2 linked regions of the Oryctolagus cuniculus genome follow. The protein of the gene in region 1 interacts with the protein of each later gene in a pairwise test. Links are inferred from orthologs where the notes say so. Each region holds a gene or a part of one and is shown on either strand. Other genes may lie near its edges.

Evidence for each region.
Region 2: the proteins of HRAS (region 1) and RGL2 interact in binary tests that used the Homo sapiens proteins (3 or more experiments, as listed by UniProt). The link is inferred for Oryctolagus cuniculus from reciprocal best matches to the Homo sapiens genes HRAS and RGL2.

Annotation. Positions count from the first base shown.
Region 1 is NC_091432.1:196,732-201,190, forward strand, and holds the start of HRAS (GTPase HRas), read right to left. Parts: upstream 3,076-4,459; 5' UTR 2,892-3,075; intron 2,016-2,891; 5' UTR 1,968-2,015; coding exon 1,857-1,967; intron 1,776-1,856; coding exon 1,597-1,775; intron 1,520-1,596; coding exon 1,360-1,519; intron 1,264-1,359; exon of another isoform or gene 1,182-1,263; intron 814-1,181; coding exon 694-813; 3' UTR 690-693; intron 1-689. UniProt on the Homo sapiens protein: Involved in the activation of Ras protein signal transduction. Ras proteins bind GDP/GTP and possess intrinsic GTPase activity.
Region 2 is NC_091436.1:135,823,950-135,828,437, reverse strand, and holds the start of RGL2 (ral guanine nucleotide dissociation stimulator-like 2), read right to left. Parts: upstream 2,996-4,488; 5' UTR 2,724-2,995; intron 2,524-2,723; 5' UTR 2,483-2,523; coding exon 2,324-2,482; intron 1,093-2,323; coding exon 1,009-1,092; intron 808-1,008; coding exon 629-807; intron 498-628; coding exon 447-497; intron 358-446; coding exon 60-357; intron 1-59. Other genes in the region: TAPBP (tapasin), read right to left, coding at 4,296-4,422. UniProt on the Homo sapiens protein: Probable guanine nucleotide exchange factor. Putative effector of Ras and/or Rap. Associates with the GTP-bound form of Rap 1A and H-Ras in vitro.

The sequences.
Region 1 (4,459 bases):
CGGGCAGGGGCGTGGGGCCGGGCGGGGGCGTGGGGCACACGGGGGCGTGGGGCCGGGCAAGGGCGTGGGGCCGGGCGGGGGCGTGGGGCCGGGCAGGGGCGTGGGGCCGGGCGGGGGCGTGGGGCACACGGGGGCGTGGGGCCGGGCAGGGGCGTGGGGCCGGGCGGGGGCGTGGGGCCGTGCAGGGGCGTGGGGCCGGGCGGGGGCGTGGGGCCGGGCGGGGGCGTGGGGCCGGGCGGGGGCGTGGGGCACGTGTGGGGCCGGGCAAGGGCGTGGGGCCGGGCGGGGGCGTGGGGCACGTGTGGGGCCGGGCAAGGGCATGGGGCCGGGCGGGGGCGTGGGGCCGGGCGGGGGCGTGGGGCACGTGTGGGGCCGGGCAAGGGCGTGGGGCCGGGCGGGGGCGTGGGGCACGTGTGGGGCCGGGCAAGGGCATGGGGCCGGGCGGGGGCGTGGGGCCGGGCGGGGGCGTGGGGCCGTGCAGGGGCGTGGGGCCGGGCGGGGGCGTGGGGCCGGGCGGGGGCGTGGGGCCGGGCAGGGGCGTGGGGCACACGGGGGCGTGGGGCCGGGCAGGGGCGTGGGGCCGGGCGGGGGCGTGGGGCCGGGCGGGGGCGTGGGGCCGGGCAAGGGCGTGGGGCCGGGCGGGGGCGTGGGGCCGGGCGGGAACCCACGGGCCGGCGGCCCCGGCTCACCTGCTCAGGACAGCACACACTTGCAGCTCAGACAGCCGCGGCCGCTCTCGTCGGGCGGGTTCAGCTTCCGCAGCTTATGCTGCCGGATCTCCCGCACCAGCGTGTAGAACGCGTCCTCCACGCCCTGGAAGGGAGGAGCGGGCTCAGGGCGCGGCCACCGGGGGACCCGCTGTTTCCCGCCGAGGGCTCAGGCTGAACCCTTGCCCCTCCCTGCTCGTCGGCAGCTTCCCGGGCCGCCCCCGTGGGCAGGCTCACCTCCCCACCCCAACTCTGCGCCCGGCTGGTGAGCTACAGGGCTCAGAACCCACAGGAACCCGTGGGACACTGGGGACAGAGGGGCAGGGGCCCAGGGTCACCGCTCCAGCCTGGCTCAGGGCAGCTCTCTCTAGGGACCCCCCCTCCCCTGGGGCTGCGTCAGCCCAGGACTGCAGGGCGTGAGCCCAGACCCCGGCCCTCGCCTCCCTCACTGCCCTGCCGTCCGGGGAGACTTACAGCGCGAGGGGCCGCTGGGTCACATGGGTCCCGGGGGGTCCCAGAGGGTCCCGGAGCTGGAGCCAGAGCCAGAGCGGCTGCCCTGCGTCGAGGGAGAGGGGCTGTGAGCACTGCTCCCTGGCGGGGGCGGGGTGGGGCCGGGGCGTCCCTGGGCGGCTGGGGGCGGGGCCGGGCTCACCTGCCGCGTCTTGGCCGAGGTCTCGATATAGGGGACGCCGTAGCTGCGGGCCAGGTCCTGCGCCTGCCGGGACTCCACGGTGCGCGCCGCCAGGTCGCACTTGTTCCCCACCAGCACCATGGGCACGTCGTCCGAGTCTTTCACCCGCTTGATCTGCTCCCTGGGAGCGGCAGGCGTGAGCCGGGGCGCGCACTGCCGGCCTGGCCAGCGCCCCCGTGCGCGCCCCGCGGCGCTCACCTGTACTGGTGGATGTCCTCGAAGGACTTGGTGTTGTTGATGGCGAACACGCAGAGGAAGCCCTCGCCCGTGCGCATGTACTGGTCCCGCATGGCGCTGTACTCCTCCTGGCCCGCCGTGTCCAGGATGTCCAGCAGGCACGTCTCCCCGTCGATGACCACCTGCTTCCGGTACGAGTCCTGCGGGAGGCGGCGTCTCAGGGACCGCGTGGCGGCAGGCTACCGGCGCTGGCCGCCCAGGGGAGGGGTCGCCGGGCTCACCTCGATGGTGGGGTCATATTCGTCCACGAAGTGGTTCTGGATCAGCTGGATGGTCAGTGCGCTCTTGCCTACACCGCCGGCGCCCACCACCACCAGCTTATACTCCGTCATCGCGCGCTGCTCGCGGGCTGCCCGGCGCTGTGGGGTCTCCTGCCCCGCCTGCCAAGGAGGGCCACGCTCAGCCAGGCCCGCAGCTCCGACGGCCAGGACGGCGGCCCAGCTGCCCACCTGGGCCAGCCGCCATCCAGGGGGCGGGAGGGGTGCCGCCTCCCCACCCCGCCGCACCAGCGACAGCGTGAGCAAGGCAGGGCGCCTACCCCCAAAGGCAGGGCTGACAGCTGAGAGCTTCTCCCAACCACGCACCCAAATTAGAAGCTGCTGTGTAGGCAGAACGCACAACCCGCAGGGCCTGAGGGCTGAGGTTAGCCTCCCAGAACAGGTCCTGCCGCGGCCGGCCGGGCCACAGCCTGCCCAGGCAGGCCAGCGTCAGCCAGCCGCCGGGCCCGGGGGTGCGTCCGAACAGCATTACCGAGCGCGCACCGCATGCAGGTGCCGCCGCGGCCCGAGGGACAGGGGGCCTGGGGCGCAATCCCCGCCCTCTGGGGTCCCCAGGATGTCGGCTCCCCGGGGTGTCCACCGGCCCCAAAGTCCTCGGAGAAACGCGCAGGGGTTCCGGCAAACAGGGGCTCAGCCCTAGCGCAGGGGCAGCGCAGGGGAGGCCCGGACCCCGAGCCGGCGCGCCCCGGGTCGCGGCGTGCAGGGCGGGGCGCCCTGGCGGCCCTGAGGGCCACGGTGGCCGCGGCGCTGGGCCTCTCCGAGCCCTGGGCAGCGCGGGGAGGAGACGGCGCCCGGCGCCATGGCGCAGGCGGGGCCTGGTCCCGGGGGCCCGCAGCCACAGGGACGCCAGGAAGGGGCCGCGGACGCCGCCCCCCGCCCCGCCGCCGCCCCCGGCCCGCACGCGCGCCCGCCCCGCGCCGCCGCCAGCAGGGCCGGGAGGGGGCGCCGGGCCCCCGCCCCCGCCCCGCCCGCACTCACCGCTCACGGGCGCGACTGCCCCCGGGGCCGGGGCCGGGGCGGGGGCGGGGGCGGGCGCGGGGTCCAAGCGCGCGGCTCGCCCCGCGCATGGGCTCCGTCCGCGCCGGGTGCGGCTCAGGCTGCGGGCGCCGGCAGCGGGCGACGGACACTCGACCGCGGCCGCGCCTGCCCCGCCCCCGCGCCCGTCCGTCAGCCCGGCGCAGCCTATCATTGGACGCGCTCGGCCGAGCCACACCCCACGCGGTTGGCTGAGCGGCCCGTCCGTCAGGAAGCGCGACCGGGCGGGGCTTCCGGGAGTGGCTCGCAGGGCGGTGCCCGGCAGGCCTCGGCCGAGCCGGGGCCCCGCACCGAGTTCTGCGGGTGCCGAGGGAACGCGTGGCGGGCTGGAGGGGCGGGCACGGCAGCGGGGCCGGCGCTGGGGAAGGCCAGAGGTCCGCCTTCCGGCCCGAAGTTCCCATCAGACCGAGCCCAAAAGTTGCTGCACGCACGAAGGGCAGAGACCCGCACTCCCCTGGAGGAAGCGGGAGGCGGGGAACGGGGCGTGCGGCTCTGCGCCGGGCGTCCCCTCTGGCCGTGGCGGGGGTCTCAGGACGGGCTTCCCGCGCGGGAGCCGCGGCAGGTGCAGCACGGTCCCGGGTACCCCCGCCCTGCAGCCGTCGCTAGGGGGCGTGGCCGCGCGCCGCGTGAGAGGCTCGCGCCTCATGAATATTCTGGTATGCAGATGAGGCCCCGCCCGGTTGCCATGGCTCCCGGGCCGCAGCCCCGCGGCCGGAAGAACTGGCGGAGTCGGAGAGCGCCGCGGCCGCGGGCACCCAGGGCCGAGCCCCGGGCTGGGCACCCCGGCGCCCCGCAGGTGAGGGGAAGCCCGGGCCGAGGTGGACTCAGCAGAGCCTCTGGGGCCCAGCGACAGCCTCAGAGGTCAAAAGGTGTCCCCGCGGAGGCCACGCCCGCGCCTCGGGACTTGCTGGGGCTGGCTCCAGGGTGGGGTCACTCCAGGGTGGGGTCATGGGAAGGGAGCCAGGTGTGCCCTGGGTACTGGGCCGTGAAGGGAGGAGCCAGGGCCGTCGCCAGCCTCGGGCCTTGGGGGCGTGGCAGAGGAGCAGTGTCCAGGAGTGGGGGCTTGGGCCTAGCTGCCTCCAACCCCTGGACTTTGAACCCCTTGGGGCCTGGCTGAGGCAGGACCCTCGGCCACCCATGGGCGTCCAGGGCCAGCCCGTCTCCCTGGCCATGATGAGGTGGCAGTTGGGCATGGTGGGGATTAGCTGGGAGGCCTAGGGCCGGGCACCAGCTGCAGGAGGGCAGGCAGCAGGGAAAGTCCACGGGGCTCCCCAGGGGACCTGCGCGTTCCTGGGTCCTCAGCATGTGGGTCACTATCCAGACCGGACCCCTGAGGCTCTCTCCCCAAAGCCTCTAAGTCCAGCTGACTGCACCCCCTGTCCAGGAGGCCCGCCGCATCGGTGGGTGGAGGGGATGAACCCGGCCGTGGGCAGTGTGCGCCTCCCCTGGGCAGTGGTTTCCGCCCACCCACATCTGTCTCTGGGGAAGGTGACCCTGGGAAGCCTAGCAGG
Region 2 (4,488 bases), on another chromosome or scaffold:
GGAGCCGAGGAGAGGTTAGTAAAGGGCTGGGGGCATGGGGGCAAAGGTCAGGGTCTCACCGCATCTAGCAGGGTCAGCTGTTCGGCCAAGTGGTCAGCGAGGAACACCAGGACATCCGTGGGGTCAGCAGGGGGATCGCCGGGGAGGGCCAGGGGCTTAGGAAGGTCGGGGGCCTGGGGGTCCACCCGAGACCGGAGGTTTCGGATGAGGTCAGCGGTGCCCCCCCCAACACCCTCCCCTGCTGCATACCCTGTCCGGAGCAAGAAGCTCTCAAGGCGGTCAAGCTGACCCTTGACCTCAGAGCCAAAATCCTCAGGGTGAGAGGCCAGCCAGGTGGACAGGACAGAGATGGCTACCCTGGGAGAAGGGGAATCAGCCAAGGGTCAGAGGTCAGGCTGCAGCTGGTGCGGAGGGGACGGCGAGGCTAAGAATCCGGGGTCACTCACCCTGTTGTCCGCTCTAGTTCATCAGCAGGATGAGACTCAAGTGCTTCCAGTCTGCAGAGGGAAGGACATCTCTCCAACCACATCCCCCTGCCCGCCTCGCCCCGCCTCGCCCCGCTGTGGGATGCTGGGGGCTTCAGGAAATCCCGACACCGCCATGATCCTTGGTCCCTTAGGTCCCTCACCTGTCAGCCACGAGCCCTAGCAGGGCAGGCGTGGAGGTGAAGGCCCGGTGGGTGGCCAGGAGGGCGGACACGAAGGTCACATCAGCCCCTGACGTCTGAGGGTCCAGCAGGTGTCTGACCAAGGCCACCAGGGTGCCAGCTCGGAGCCGTCGGGAAGAACGCGGGGGAGGCAGGGGAGCCTGCAGGATGCAGAAGACCCATCACTGACTTCCGCCCTCAGTTCTGCCCCTGGGTCTCGGGGACAGTCCCAGATCTAGACGTTAAGCCAGTTCATGTTGCTGAGACCCAGAGAGGGGCCAAAGACCATCAGGACAGCAGATGTCCAACCTAGCACTCGGGCCAGAAAGTCAGCCAGAGCGGAGTCAGAGCCACCATCTCACCGAGGGGTCAAGAGGCCGGTACTGGCGGCTTGTGACGGTAAACGTGGCGCCATCCTCCTCCTCTTCCCACACAGACACGGGGGCCTGCAGCGGCGAGGAAGGGGAAGTCATAGAGTTCCACACACCACCGCCCACTGCCCAGCCCTCGCCCGGGCCCTCCGCCTCCCTCTGCACCCCTCACCTGTGGCGGCAGGGACCAGTACCAGCGGGTGCGGGGGGCCGGGGGGGCTGGCGACCCCAGGTCTCTCCCACTGGGGCCCAGACAGCCCCCCCCTAGCCGCCTCAGGGCCCGATGGAGTCGAGGGGATTGCAGTTGGGGAGCGGATGGAGTGCAGAAACTCTGATCCTGGAGACCCCCAAAGCCCCTTCCCCCCAGAGCTGAACCCCAACACAGCAGAGGAGCAGGGCGCAAAGGGCAGGAGAGGCAGAGCACCAGAGGCACAGAGAAGCTGAAAGCCCAGTCACCGGCAGAGCGGCCTCATGCCCCGCCCTCCCAACCAAGGACCCTCCTTCTCCCCCGCCCTCTTCTACCCTGGTTCCCCGGCTAGGGGGCCTCCACTATCTCAGTCCTGGGGACCCCAAAGGTAGCTGCTCCAATCCCAATACAGGAAGGAGAAGGGGAAGTGGGGATGATGGGGGGGGTGGATTCAAGAGTCACGTGGCCCCAGCCCCTCCCCCCTGCCAATCTCGAAAAACCAGCCCTGCCAGTCTCCCTGCCTTCACTCAGGTCTGGACCCGGGAGTCCAGGGCCCGAGGGCCCCAAAACCAACTTCCGGCCTCTCTTGAGGCCCCAAACCCTGCTCCTGGCCACCATCATTCGTCCCCAGGAAAAGCAGATGACCACCCCGTGTGTCCAGCCTCGGCCTAAGCACCAGGCAGCGGGAGGGGGAGGGACGCTGGGAAGGGGAGGGGTCAAGAAACCAGAGGGTTCCCTCCCCAATCCCAGAGTCAGAGAAGCTGGTTACTGTGGCAACAAACCCCTCCCCGCCAAACAAAACCCAGGAGGGCGACGGGGAGCGCGACCCCAGCGCCCAGAGAGGCGGGCACTCTCAGGTGTAGGCAGGGAAGGCCGGGGACCAGCCGGGACGGCCGGGCAGGACCAGGGCATGTTCCTGCGGACAGCTCCCGAGCCGCACTGACACAAACCACAGACGCCAGCACTCCCTGCGGCAGGGCGGCTGGCACACACCCAGGCCGAGGCGCGGAAGTCCCTGGAGCTGGGAGGGAGGGGAGAGGCAGGGCCCAGAGGCAGCGGGAGAAAGGCGGACAGTCTCGGCCACGTTCACGCCCCTGCCTCCCGCCGCCCGCGTCTCACCTCTTCTTCTTCCTCCTCCTCCTCTTGCGCCTGCCCCCCGCCCACGACCCGGCCACCTGGGTCCCCACCCGCTTCGGGGTCTCGGCTCCGGAAGCTGCTCAGCACGACTCCCCCGGGGGGGCTCGTGTCCAAAAGCAGCCGCAGGGGCCGCGGGAGCATGGCCGAGTGCAGGAGTCAGCGGGGTCGGGCCATGGGGGCGCCTGGAGAGAGACGGGGGAGGGGTGCGGGTGGCGGGGTCAGGCGGGCGCGAGCGTCCAGGCGCCCAGATGAGAGTCCTGCAGGAGGCCGGGGCAGGCGGGCGACGCGGGGGTTGGACACTGGGGGCCCTGGGTGCGCTCTGCAGAGGAGAGGCTCACAAGGACGGGGAGCGGGCAGGGTCACAGGGTGCTCTGGCTCTGACCTGCTCGGGAGGGGTGGGGGCAGCGTGGGTCCCAGGCCGCTGTTCCGGTCGTCCTCTGGCCCCCGACCGAGTCCCCTCCTCGGCTTCGCCGCACCACCCCCCTTGCACCCCTCCGTCCGCTCTCTGGCCCTCCCGCCCTTTCCGCTCCCCCCCGCGTCCGCCCGCTCCGAGAGCAGGAGCCAAAAGGGGAAGGAAGTGAGAACAGGAGCCAGGGCCGCGGACCAGGGCAGCGCTGGACGGCCCAGGGTCCGGGACCCGGGAGCGCGGGTCCCCGGCGCCAGTGTCCTCCCCGCCCCCACTCGGGGATTCCGGAGCCCACGTCGCCGCGCACTGAGTGGGACTAAAGATTCCAGTCTCTAGACCCCGGGGAGGACAGATGCAGAATTAAACAATGCCTTCTCCACAAGAGCGAGGCTAAATCTCCCGCGGCAAGCATTCTAGGCGGGGAAAGACCCCGGGCTCCTACCCCCGGGCCACACTCCCCATTGCAACCAAGCCTGGCAGCGGACCGAAATCCACTCCGGGTTTTCCGAAGAGCCCCCAGTTCCCGCCCTCTTGTGAGGAGGCGGGACAGGAAGCCGCCACTTCCGGTCCCAGGTTCGGGGCTCCGGGGTTTCCGGTGCTCGGGGCCCGGACCTCCGCTGGCGCGCGGCGTCGTCTCGCTCCCGCGGGGAGTCGGCTCCTTGGCGACCTGTGGCGAGCACTCAAACTGTTTCGCCTGGGTGGTGGATGCTCTGGGCCCCTTTGGGAGATCGGGGCCCGATGTGACTGGAAGGTTCATTGGGGCAGAATGAGATCCAGTTGGAAGTACCGGAAGACAACTTTATTGCCACACGATTAGACCCGACCCCCGCCCCTCAGAGTCCCTAAGCCGCGCGGTCGCCGCTCCCGTCCTCCAGCATCAGCAGCTTTTAGAGGAGCGCCCTCTGGTGGGCGTCGCCGGGCCGCTGCCTGCCCTGGAGAAGCCCCCAGCCCGGGAGGACGAGGAGGCTGACCCGGCCTGGAGCGCAGGGAGCGTGAGGGGTGACCAGCAGAGGGGGCAGAGCGCTGGGGCCCGAGCCCGGGCCCGGCGGGCGGCGTTGAGCTCACCGGGGGAAAGGAGAACCGTCCTGTGGAAGGGGCGCCGGGAGGAGGCTGGGGGCTCCCGCGCGAGGGGACACGTTGGCAGGAGCCAGAAGAATGGATCTGGCCCTAGAGCCCTGGTTCTTCAAGTGTGGTCTCTGTCCCCGAGGCCCCCGAGTCTAGTTCTGGGGGGGGGGGGGTATGTAGAATCAAGAGCGGATCGCGCCAACATCGTGTCCAGCATCATTTTCAGGGAGTGTGCGGTGGCGCTGCCCAGAAAGCCACCTGATGTGAAGCCACACCGTCCCCCTCACAGCAAATGGGACGTGTGCGTGTCATTTAAATACGGTAAATAGCTTTAAATACGGTAAATAGCGCTACTCGTCATGCACACAGCTCTCTGAGGTCCTTGATGATTTCTAAGAGGTCCTGAGACCAAAAACTGTGAGAACCATTGCCCTAGAGTTCGAAGATGAATGCCCTGTGATTTGTGTCTTTTAGAAAAGCCACTCAGTGGCGGGAAACGAGGGAGTAGGAGCAGATGGTGCGGTAATATTTTGCGGGGCCACTGCAGTAGCTCGGGCCAGAGATGATGGAGGCGTCCGCGTGGTGGTGGCGGGTGCCCTCACTGGGTTTTCTGGAAGAGAAGCAAGAAGGGGGTAAGGAATTGGGGGACTTAAGGAGGTAGGCTGAGGGGCCCATC